3 linked regions of the Cricetulus griseus genome follow. The protein of the gene in region 3 interacts with the protein of the main gene of each other region in a pairwise test. Links are inferred from orthologs where the notes say so. Each region holds a gene or a part of one and is shown on either strand. Other genes may lie near its edges. The genes, in order: Pnrc2, Rita1 and Dcp1a.

What was found.
Region 1: the proteins of Dcp1a (region 3) and Pnrc2 interact in binary tests that used the Homo sapiens proteins (3 or more experiments, as listed by UniProt). The link is inferred for Cricetulus griseus from reciprocal best matches to the Homo sapiens genes DCP1A and PNRC2.
Region 2: the proteins of Dcp1a (region 3) and Rita1 interact in binary tests that used the Homo sapiens proteins (3 or more experiments, as listed by UniProt). The two-hybrid records come from large-scale screens. The link is inferred for Cricetulus griseus from reciprocal best matches to the Homo sapiens genes DCP1A and RITA1.

What each region holds. Positions count from the first base shown.
Region 1 is NC_048595.1:17,424,385-17,428,725, reverse strand, and holds Pnrc2 (proline-rich nuclear receptor coactivator 2), read right to left. Parts: upstream 2,931-4,341; 5' UTR 2,792-2,930; intron 2,048-2,791; 5' UTR 2,030-2,047; coding exon 1,610-2,029; 3' UTR 503-1,609; downstream 1-502. UniProt on the Homo sapiens protein: Involved in nonsense-mediated mRNA decay (NMD) by acting as a bridge between the mRNA decapping complex and the NMD machinery. May act by targeting the NMD machinery to the P-body and recruiting the decapping machinery to aberrant mRNAs.
Region 2 is NC_048597.1:100,419,569-100,422,175, forward strand, and holds part of Rita1 (RBPJ-interacting and tubulin-associated protein 1), read right to left. Parts: coding exon 2,123-2,607; 3' UTR 2,111-2,122; intron 1-2,110. UniProt on the Homo sapiens protein: Tubulin-binding protein that acts as a negative regulator of Notch signaling pathway.
Region 3 is NW_023276807.1:189,261,085-189,265,199, forward strand, and holds the start of Dcp1a (mRNA-decapping enzyme 1A), read right to left. Parts: upstream 2,945-4,115; 5' UTR 2,863-2,944; coding exon 2,728-2,862; intron 1-2,727. UniProt on the Homo sapiens protein: Necessary for the degradation of mRNAs, both in normal mRNA turnover and in nonsense-mediated mRNA decay. Removes the 7-methyl guanine cap structure from mRNA molecules, yielding a 5'-phosphorylated mRNA fragment and 7m-GDP.

The sequences.
Region 1 (4,341 bases), on a different chromosome or scaffold from region 3:
ACAAGGTCTCCATGTAGCCCTAGCTGTCCTGGACCCTCAGACTTGTAGGCCTACACACTCTTAAAAATTTTTGCTAGTTTAAATCCTGATAATTTTCTGTAAATAATCATGGAATGGGGAAATTTTCCATTAAGCTTTTTTTTTTTTTTCCCTTCGAGACAGGGTTTCTCTGTGCCTTTGGAGGCTGTCCTGGAACAGCCTGCCTCTGTCTCTGGAGTGCTGGGACTAAAGGCATGTGCCACCATTAAACTGTCTTAAACTCAACATTTTTAAGGTTGCACAGGATTGGTTTCATTTTTTTTACCATTAGCGATTCGGGAAAGTAAGTTTACTATATGGCTGGGTATGGCGGCATACACCTTTAATGGAAGCATGCTACAGAGACCCTGCCTCAAAAGAAGGTCCAGTTTAACAAGCAGTAAGTAAGCAAAGCAGTAACCTCACAGGCCAACAGTCATATCCCAAGATTAGGTAGCCGAAAATCATTAAAATGAAAACAATCTACTGGGGAGGAAAGAAGTTTTATTTCTGAATTTTGCGATTCAAAACCAGATCATAATTATTTTATGGACTTGTCCTTTTGTATACTCAATGTTTGATTTCGGCAGTATTTGTTTTGAACTTAATTGGCGATTTTGCTTATAAGCCCTGAAAAGCAACTTGCTATTTGTACTTTGCATAAAGAATCCTGGGTCACTTAATCATTCTAGGATTTGATAAAGTCAAAATGAATCTTTGGATTTAAAAAGATGTAGAGAATCTTAAAATCTCCTTAAAAACAGGAAATGTTCTTAGCAGCTTAAAGCCTTTTGATATAAAATTTAACACAATTGATATACTGGCACTTAAGCACAAGGGCAATTAAAAAAAAAACTGGAGACCTTTAAAATTAGGCCATAGTATTAAAAAAAAAAGTTCATGGTCTTACATTCAGCAAATTGACACTAAAAAGTCTTTTGTAGAATAAAGGCCAGAAAACTTTACATATGTTACAAGATTACATGTATTTACATGGCTCTTTTCTTCCCTAGGTATTTTAATTTTCACATACACAACTCCCTGCAAAGCAAGCTTTGTAGGAGTTAGGCCAGATCACCTCAGCAGGTTTGTAAGGATGCTATCAACGTGTCCTTTGAAAGCTAGTCAATATTTTGAAAGAGATTTGGTACATAAATGCCTATCCACTGACTGCATTTAAGAAATGACCACGGGGCTATCTACCTAATTCTAATAAGCTACAAGTGCCTTTACACATTTGCCACAAATATATGTAGCTACTTACAAAGATGCCTATAATGTTACGGTTTGGGTCCCTAGAATATGTAACTCAACTGTGTACCTTGTTTGCAGTCTTTGTATATCTTAACTAAACACTGTCTTTTGTTTGGTTTCTTGTTAGACAATAAAGCTGGTTACTGATCCCCAAATCTAAGCTTCAATTTAGTTAGCAAGACTACCAAGTAGAATTAGTTAAATTATCCTGACACTACACACACTACATAAATGTTTGAGTATACTTGTAAATTAGCAGTTTTATATAAAACTTCCCTAAAGTCAAACCAACTGATGGCTATGTGAACATCACAAAATTTAAAAGTACTTAAGATTTTTAAACCTGTACTTTAAGTAGGGTTTTAAGTTGAAATGTCATTGTTTCCTTATCTGAAGGGTTCAATGAAACAGGAACCCAGTGGCTTGGTGGCTTGGGAAGAACACTTGGTGATGGTGGTTCACTAAATTTGGCTCCGGCATAGTTCTGGTTAGCTTGAGGCTTAAAAAGCAAGCTTGGGCTTGATAGGCTAGCATTCCAACTTGGGTTGTTGGCGAGGCTCTTGTTCTTGCCCCCATTCTGCATGGCCTGCCGCGCAGCTGCCGCCGGATTGTACCCGTGTCCTCTTTCTTTTTTCTTAGGAACCATCTTCATCTGGGAATTCTGATCCTTGGTCTTCTGTCTATTGTGCTGTTGTTGGTTCTTACTAACATTTCTAGATTGGGGGGCTGGAATGTTATACCTCTCTCCACCACCCATCTTCAGCTTCTTTGTCACCTGAAAATAAATAAATGTAAACTAGTAAAATTCCACATATCCTTTCTGAAGTTTCCATAGCTCCGATTCTAGAAATGTTAGTAAAGAAAACAAGGCTAGCTGTTAGGAGACAGACTTGCCCCACCAGAGCATTCACCTCAAAAATATTGAAGCAAGTCCTGAATCAAACACCAAAAACAAAAAAAATTTATTTTTGTGAAAGCTAAATAAAATTAGCGAGATCTAGTCGTTCTGTGTACAGCCTAAGAAAATGGCCCACACACTTAAATTCACCACCGCCCCTTTCAGGCAGGGTGGCCTTATACCAGACTGGCCTCCAACTTGTTTTGTTTTCGAGACAGGGTTTCTCTGTGGCTTTGGAGGCTGTCCTGGAACTAGCTCTTGGAGACCAGGCTGGTCTCGAACTCACAGAGATCCACCTACCTCTGCCTCCCGAGTGCTGGGATTAAAGGCGTGTGCCACCACTTCTCGGCCTGAGGTTTTTTTGGTTTTTAAGACAGGGTTTCTCTGTGGCTTTGGAGCCTATCCTGGCACTCGCTCAGACCAGGCTCTCAGAAATCCACCTGCCTCTGCCTCTGCCTCTGCCTCCGGAGTGCTGGGATTAAAGGTGTGCGCCACCGACGCCCGGCCCGGCCTCCAACTTTAGTTTTCCCCAGCCTCTTGAGTGCTAGGATTGCAGGCAGGGATAAAGCATGGCTACAGTCCTTAATGGGTTAGAAGTGCATCTATCATTCAATAGGATACCTTTCAGTCTCCTTTTCAGATCGCAGGGTTTCCACTCTGTGTCCTCTTCCCTGCTGCCACGCCCAGGATAAGAGATGTTGCTTTCTGCTAGATCCTTTTCTTTGTCTCAATACATAAGTTTTCATGAGCCAATCTGCTGATTTCAGCCTGGGAGCTGAGGCCAACATCGAGTCTCCTCAGCACACAAGTTTGAGAGAAGTCCTAGCTAGAAAAGGAAAGATAATTCTTGAAAACAACCCAAGAAAGTGATCGCTTAAACTTTCTACAGAAGTAAATGGCTACTTCAAGGCCTCTAGATGTATCAAACCGTGACTTTCTTTGATCTCATAAACGTCCACTTAACTCTTGGTGATGTCTACATTTTAAAGTCAAACTTAGGAAGCATTCGCTCCTGTGACCACACCAAGGAACTAGGGACCATGTTAAGTCCGGATTTTCTGCTTCCAACCCCACACGTTTCCACACCAATGCTCTTCCCAACAATGTACATTGCGCTTTAGGTTACGACTCTACACTCCGGGTCCCGAAACATGGTGACATTTTTAAGCACGCACGCACGCACGCACGCAAGCCTCCCTAAAGTGAACAGTCAAACTAGCAAATACACCCTCACAAGACTGAGAAAGCCTCCAATATTTTTGTCCCAAGGTCCGCACTCCCAGCCCGGGGCTCGCCGCCGATGCCCCAGGGCTCAGCTAGGGGGCCGCGCTGCCGACCCTGCTTCCTCTTCAGCGGGGCCCAACAATGGGGCCCGCGGTGGCCAACATGGCCGCCCCCGCCACACTCACCGACTTCGAGTTCGGGCGGCAGCGGCGACTCCCTCTCGACCTCCAAACCTCCCTCCCTTTCCAGGGAGAAACGATGCACCGATCAAACCTGCCCACCAGCAACTCACAGACCACAGTTCCGTCTTCAACCCAGCTCCTTCTACCTTTACCGACAAAATGGAGGCCGCTGTGAGCGCGGAAGAGGGCCGGCGCCTCGGCGGCCAATGAGGACGCAGCTCCGCGCGTCGCGGCCAATGAGGCGCCGGCCGCCGCCTGTTGCTGGGGTCGGGGAGCGAGTGCGGGCAGGCTGTTGTGGTGGTTTGAAATCCTGCGGGAGGAGCATGTCGGGAGTAACTGCCCAGCCTCGGGAGCCGCGCTGCTGCGGGGCTCTCCGTGGGCCGCCGGCCTCCAGCTGCGCTCGCTGGTCACATAGCCACTTTTTATGGGTAGAAAATACTCAGCTGCCTCGGTGGCCAGGCCCCTGCCCAGCTGCCCTCAGTGGTTCGCCGCCCCGGGGCTGCAGTGGGTCGCCTCCCCACCCCGAGCCCCGCAGCCCTTCTGCACACGGCCGTCTTCACTCCTTCCGCGCCCCCCTCTCATCTAACTTGGGCTTTTCTGCTGGACCTGAACAGGCAACATCATCAGGGTCTGCTAAAAAGCAGCGCTGGCCGGTCCCTACTACATTTTTTTTTTTACCTTGTTTATTTTACTAAATAAAACGAGGGAGGAAAAAGATGCGGCTCAAGTATGACAGCAAGGCTCGGGGAAGAAAAAAGAGGGACA
Region 2 (2,607 bases), on a different chromosome or scaffold from region 3:
CTGTAGCCCCAGCTGGTGATCCACCTGCCTCTTGATTTCTAAATGCTGAATTTACAGGCATGGGCCACCTCTTTGGCTTCCTCCACTTCAAAACAAAACAACAAAACTAAAGAAACAAAGGATGGTCAAGGGGGATGGTGGGGGCGGTGGTGGTGCACGCTATGTGGGAGGCTGAGGCAGGTGATCTCTGAGTTCAGGCCAGCCTGGTCTACAGAGTGAGTGCCAGGACAGCCAGAGCTACATGGGGAAACCCTGTCTCAAAAACAACAAAACAACAAAAGGGTTATTTTATTTATGTGGGTGTACCCATGGAGTCCATAGCTGGCTGCAAAATTCATTGGAACTAGAGTTACAGATGTTTGTGAGCCACTTGAAGAGGGTGATATCTGAACTTAGGACCTCTGACAGAGCAGTTAAGTTCTCTTAACCCTTCAGTCCCCAATTCACTCATTCTTCCTTCCTTTCTTCCTTCCTTCCTTCCTTCCTTCCTTCCTTCCTTCCTTCCTTCCTTTCTTCTTGAGACCGGGTTTCTTTGTGTAGCCTTGGCCTCTGCCTCCCGAGTGCTGGAATTAAAGGTGTGCACAAGCACGGCCTGGCTACTCTCCTTTTCTTAAAAGGTGTGTGTGTGTGTGTATACATCACATGCATGCCTGATGCCTGCAGAGGTCAGTAATTCCCAGAACTGGAATTACTGGCAGTTATGAGCCACCTGATGTGGGTGCTGGGAACCAAACCGAGGTCCTCTGGAAGAGCAGTGTGCACTCTTAACTGCTGGGTCATCTCTCTAGTGCCCCTCCCTCTACCTTTTGTTGTTCCCATCAGGCTGCGCCCGTTCTATCACCCCCAGCTGCTCTGACACCACAGCCTGGTATTAACCACACTCCAGGCCTGGTATCAACTACCTGGTGGCATCACCCTGGGCTCCAGCTGACCTTTAGTATAGGCAGGAGAAGAATGTGTGCTTCTATTTCTAGCCTGTGTCTATCAACAGGGAAGGGATAGAGAAAAAGGAGGTAGACTAACCAATCCTTTGTACAAGTTCTAGAAGCTTAAACATCCTATGTGGCTAAAGTGCAGTGTGTCTGTGCCCAGATATGGCTGTCTGACCTCTGTACACACATGTCCCTGGGCCAGGCTATACCTAGACGATGGTGAGTCGCCCAATGGAATCCATGAAATGCTCATGGAGGGAGGGGGACCAGGAGAGGCTCAGGACCCCATTGTCATCATCCAGGGAAGGATGTAGGACCTGAGTGAAGCTCTGTGATCCAGGGCCCCAACTGCAGTGCAAGGGAGGGCAGCACCTAGCAGCCCAGGCCTAGGGCTCTGCAGATGCCTGTCCCTGCCTGCCTTTTCCACCTGGCTCATCACTAAGTCCTGCTCTGTTTTGTTAGGGGCAGAGGTTGCTGGGCATTGATCCCAGGGCCCCATTCATGTATGTTAGGTAAACACTCTACCACTGAGATACATCCTGCCCCCCGCAACAAGACAATTGCTAGCAAAGGACTCTTACTATGTCCTGAGCTGGCAAGAACTACCCACCTACTCATGTATGGAATCACAGGACAGAGACAGGATTGGGGTAGACTAAGCATTACCTGAGGTCTATGTCCTCAGACCTCAGCAGCCAGTCATTTCTGCCACATGAACAAATCACCCACGGTTCTGTTTAACTGTACTATTTAAATCCTCAGAGGCCTTTACTTAAGGGGGAAAAGGTAACACACCACTGGGTTTTGATGAGCTAAATACATTTAATACCTGGAATAAATACATGAATATTAAAATAATGTCTCCTCATTTTCCACCCTTGGGGTCCATACACAGCCCAGGAAACTCCTTTAAGGCCCCCAGACCCCTGTAGAAACTGAATCCTGAGCAGGGAGCTGGTGGGATTTGGCACCCATGCACAAAGAGGCTGAGAAATGGCCAGAGAGACATCTCTAGGACCTCCAAAAACCCTGCAGAGAGTGCTAGGGACATCCTGAGCTTGTGGGGACAAAGGAAAGTATGACCCATCTTCACCATGGAGGCATCTCCAGTGCTTGGGGGCCCTGGTCCCCAGAGGGCCCCACCTGAGCTGAGTCCTTGCTGTGAGCCAAAGGCTTACCTGGTGAGAGTCTCACTTCCAAGGAGGCTTTGGCTTGAGGGGGCCGGTCCCTCGTTGTAGGGCAGCTGGTCCTGAAACACTGCCTGACTGTGCCTTGGAAGTGACCAGGGGACTCTGGACAGTCATCCTTGATGTGGAAGGCCGGGGACTCCAAGGTCCATTGGTCTGGGGGACACTGGCATCTAGATGACCCATGCTGGGGACACTCAGGTGGGTGACTGAATGGGAACGCCTCTGCTCCAGAGAGTGGGGAGCATCCAACCCCTCCTGGGGTGTCTTCTGGGAGCCCCTGGTCATGCTGGGCTCTGTCCTGGTGGGTCCAACGGGGTGAATGGCTCGAAGTGGGGTCTCCCTGGGGTGAGGTGAGTGGCCACCCCTAGGGGTGGCTGGTGGAGTCCAGAAAAGGGTCCAGAGCTTGGCAGCATCCCCCACGGCTGTCCGAGACCCCTCCTTGCTGAGGCCCTGTGGCCGGGAGCCAAACAATGACTCATCACAGA
Region 3 (4,115 bases):
GTGAGCCCCTAAGAACCATCTGCCTCCACTTCCCCAGTGTTGGATTGTAAGCACAAGTCACTACACCTGGCTTTTTATGGTGGGCACCTCAGGTTCTTTTACAAATTGTGTATCCATTCAACTCTATAGGTGTTTATATAATTGTAATCAATGTTCAATTCAACATGTCTACATCTGTAGCATTTTTCTATTTTAAACCTTAAGGACCACTAAAAAACAAAATACCAGAATTAGCTTTACTTTTTATTTTTATGCATTAACTTTTTTAAAAACTAAAAAACCAAACATACATGTTTGCCAGTACACACGTCTACGCAACATGTGTGCTGGAAACTCACAGAGGGCACAAGAGGGCATTGGATCCCTTGGAACTGGAGTTACAGATGGATGTGAGCCACCATGTGGGTGCTGAGAACTGAACCCAGGTCTTCTGAAGAGCAGCCAGTGCTCTTAGCTACCGAGGAACCATCTTTCCAGTCCCAGCTTTAACTTTGCCAAACCTAAAACCTTTCAACAAGGTATCTTAATGTTGAAGTATTTTGTGTTGCAACTTCAAAAACAAACAAAAAAACCTGACCAAACTTTAACAGTCTATCAAAGTTAATAGAAAAAGAAAGTAAACTGATACCAGGGCTGAACTCAGGGTCTGGGGCTGATGATGTAAAGCTGTATACCACTGAGCCAAATCCCTAACTCTCAGGAAATTTTCTTATATACTTTGTTTCACCTCTGGAGAATTTAGGAATATTTTCATTAGTAACAAATTTTGTGGTTAGTTAAGGACTACTACCAAACACTTTGTTAAGAATCCATGGATAGACCTCATTCTCAGACGTAGGCAATTCTGGTAGGTTTTTAAAATAAACATTTGAAAATTTGATTAAGAAATAACTTGGGCTGGATATATATAGCTCAGTGGTAGAGGTACAGTGCTTGAATAGGATCATGAGGCCCTAGGTTTGATCTTCTGCACTACAAGAAACAAAACAAGAAAATACAACCCATTAATATTCTTTCATCTGTTTTGACAAGAATATAGTCAGGTTTTAGGCACAGGCAGAGTGCTTTTATTTTTTTCTAAAACCCCAAAATCCTGTCAGTCTGTAGTTCTTGGCTTACACTGGATCTTGATAATTTAAATGTAACCAAAAGATTATCAAAACTTAACGTTATATCAAACAAATTGTTGTGATAAAAAATTAAAAATAAAGATCTGTTTCTTGTACATGTCTTCTACATCACAATGAAACTTATCCTTCTTGAGGCCTTTTCTTGCTTTAAAAAAAATGCTCTCATCAGAAAAAGATGACAGCCAGTTGTCTCAGAGTAAAAGTAAACTTGCCTCCCAAAATACATTGAGCAAAATTACAACTCACCACTAATAAATAAGAAAAGATGATGGTGAATGCACCATGTATCAAGATCCAAAAAAACAGCAGCTTAGGTTTCAATTTCATTTTAAAACAACTCCATGGTGAAAATCCTCAAGTGTTGCAAGCCTTTGTGAAAAACTACAAATAGGTAACAGTTATAAATGCTACTTGCAAATTCTCACCAATTGTCTGCAGCCCTTATGTTACAAATTTACATATAGAGGAAGCAGAGAAAAATGATACAAAATACTTCAAACTAAGGCACTGTTTAAAACAGGTATACCAGTAAAACAGTTTGTAATTTTATTCTCAGTGGCTTCCTACATCCCTTTCCCCTCCAGAAGGAGAAGGAAAATGATTATGGAAACTTCTTCTGACGTAAACTTTCATAAATGACAATACACTTCCACAAAATTACATCTATGTATCAGTGTCACAGTGAATAAAAGTTAGACCAGTCCTTCAGCGTTTTGTTAGTTCAAGGACCTCATTACTTGTTGAAGGGTGAACGCCTATCATTGATGAATTCTATTCAATCAACAGTTACAGATTAAAGGCATGAAGCTTTTACAGTTGAATGAATTAGAAAGAGTCAGCACAAGAAAATGGGAAACCATGTAAACAACTGAAAGGTACTTTAAGTTGAAGCTAACAAGTCAGTGAGTAGGCACTGTAACTTTTTGGAACTCCATCGCCACTCACAAAATCTAAAAAGTCCTCAGATGTGAGCCATCAAAGATTAGGTATCACCGGTCTCTTTTCCCTGCAAAAGGTCTCCAAGGAACCCTATTCTTACCGTAGTGCCCTTTCCTTAGATGCCTTGAAATCTTTCCCCAAACTCTAGAGTAGTTCGATTAAAGCGGGACTAACTCTTGAAACTGATTTTTTAAGCTTCAAATCCAAATCACCTCATTTAGGTAGGTTGGGGGGAGAGGGGTGGACTTTGTGATTAGACACATGTAATTTATCTAATAGTTCTCAAAGTCTGAAACACAGATTTCAGTCACAAAAATACCTCCCCCCCCCAAAAAAAACTAACTTGTCTCATATCCTTCCAATGCAACCAGTAAAAAAGTAAAATTACTCAAGTCCCCAGAACCGACCCCAAAGGACTGATCCTGCCTCATTCCTCCCCTCCATTAGATCTTCCCTGCTATATTTCTCCCGCTTCTTTCCTCCAATTCCGCGTGCCCCCGTCACCCCTCTGGTTCTGGCCGGGCCTTTAGGAGAGGTTCTGGCCTCGCCTTTGCGGTCCTGCTTCACTCCCCCACCCCCAATCCTAAGCTGCCTGCGCGGCCCCTTTAAGAGGCGGCAGCGGCCAGGTTGGCACCCTTCGCGGCTGGGCCTCACTCACCCACTGGTTGGCCTTAGGGCAGAAAGTGTACAGAGCGACCTGGCCCGTGAGGTCTGCGATGCTGGTGATATAGGGGTCGTGCTGCTTCAAGGCCGCCAGACTCATCTCTTGCCCTGCTCTACTCAACGACTCCATCTTGAATCCCGGAGCCGAGCCCCTCTGGCGGGGGCGGACTAGAGAACAGGAAAGTGCAATCCAGGCAAAGTTCCCCCAGCTCAGTCAGTCCTTCACTTCCGCCTAGCTGCCCGGCCTTGCGGAGGGTGGTACTTTAACTATTCTGTTCCGCCACTCCCACATCCTGGGAGCCTGGTTCCGGTCTCCGAAGGTCCGCATCTGCCGGAAGGTACTGGCTGGCGTCCGCGGCTGCGTGTGACGAGGAAGTAGCCCCCAGTCCTCGCTCACCTGGTGGGACCCGAGCTCCTTCCACGAGCACTCCCGGCTGCTCTCGGCTGCTCCCGGCTTGTGTCAGCCGGCGGGACTCCATCGCAGAGGCTGTCTCAGGTTCAGGCGCAGAATCGAAATGCTGCTGTGGAAATGACGTCTCCATGGACCGTTTAGAAAACTCAGAAAGTGTATGTGTGTGTGACTGTGTGTCTGTGTCTGTGTGTGTGTGTCTGTGTGTGTGCTGTATGTTACCTCCGACCTCAGACTGTGTGTGTGTGTGTGTGTGTGTGTGTGTGTGTGTGTGTGTGTGTGTGTGTGTGTGTGTGTGTGCGCGCGCGCGCGTGTGCGTGTGCAGTATGTTACCTCCGACCTCAGACTGCACCTTCAGACCTTCAGTTAACAATTTGGTAATTTTTGAAAGAAATGTTTCAAAGCAGCCAAACTAAACTCGGAAAGAGTGTGTGTGATCGTTTAGAAAACTCAGAAAGTGTGTGTGTGTGTGTGTGTGTGTGTGTGTGTGTGTGTGTGTGCTGTATGTTACTTTACCTCCGACCTCAGACTACACCTACAGACCTTCAGTTAACAATTTGGTAATTTTTGAAAGAAATGTTTCAAAGCAGCCAAACTAGCTTGCCTGGAATTACACAGGACTCCTTTTCTTTTGCCCTTTTCTCATATTTTTTTCTCATCCGAGTCCCAGGTAAATATTTCTATTGTTCCAGATTAAAGAACGTCGTTATTTAATACGAAGATCACTTTAAAAACAAACAAAGAGCAACTGGGAGGTGGTGGCACAGGCCTTTAATTTTAGCAGAGACAGGTGGATATCTGAGTTCGAGGCTAGCCTGATCTACAGAGCAAGTTCCAGGACAGCCAGGGCAGTTACACAGAGGAAACAAAACAAAACAAACCCCAAACATTTATTGGGCATCTTAAGTAGTGAGGTACTACTAAAAAGTAAAACAAAATGCCTACCCTATTTTCACCAAATTGCTTTAAAAACC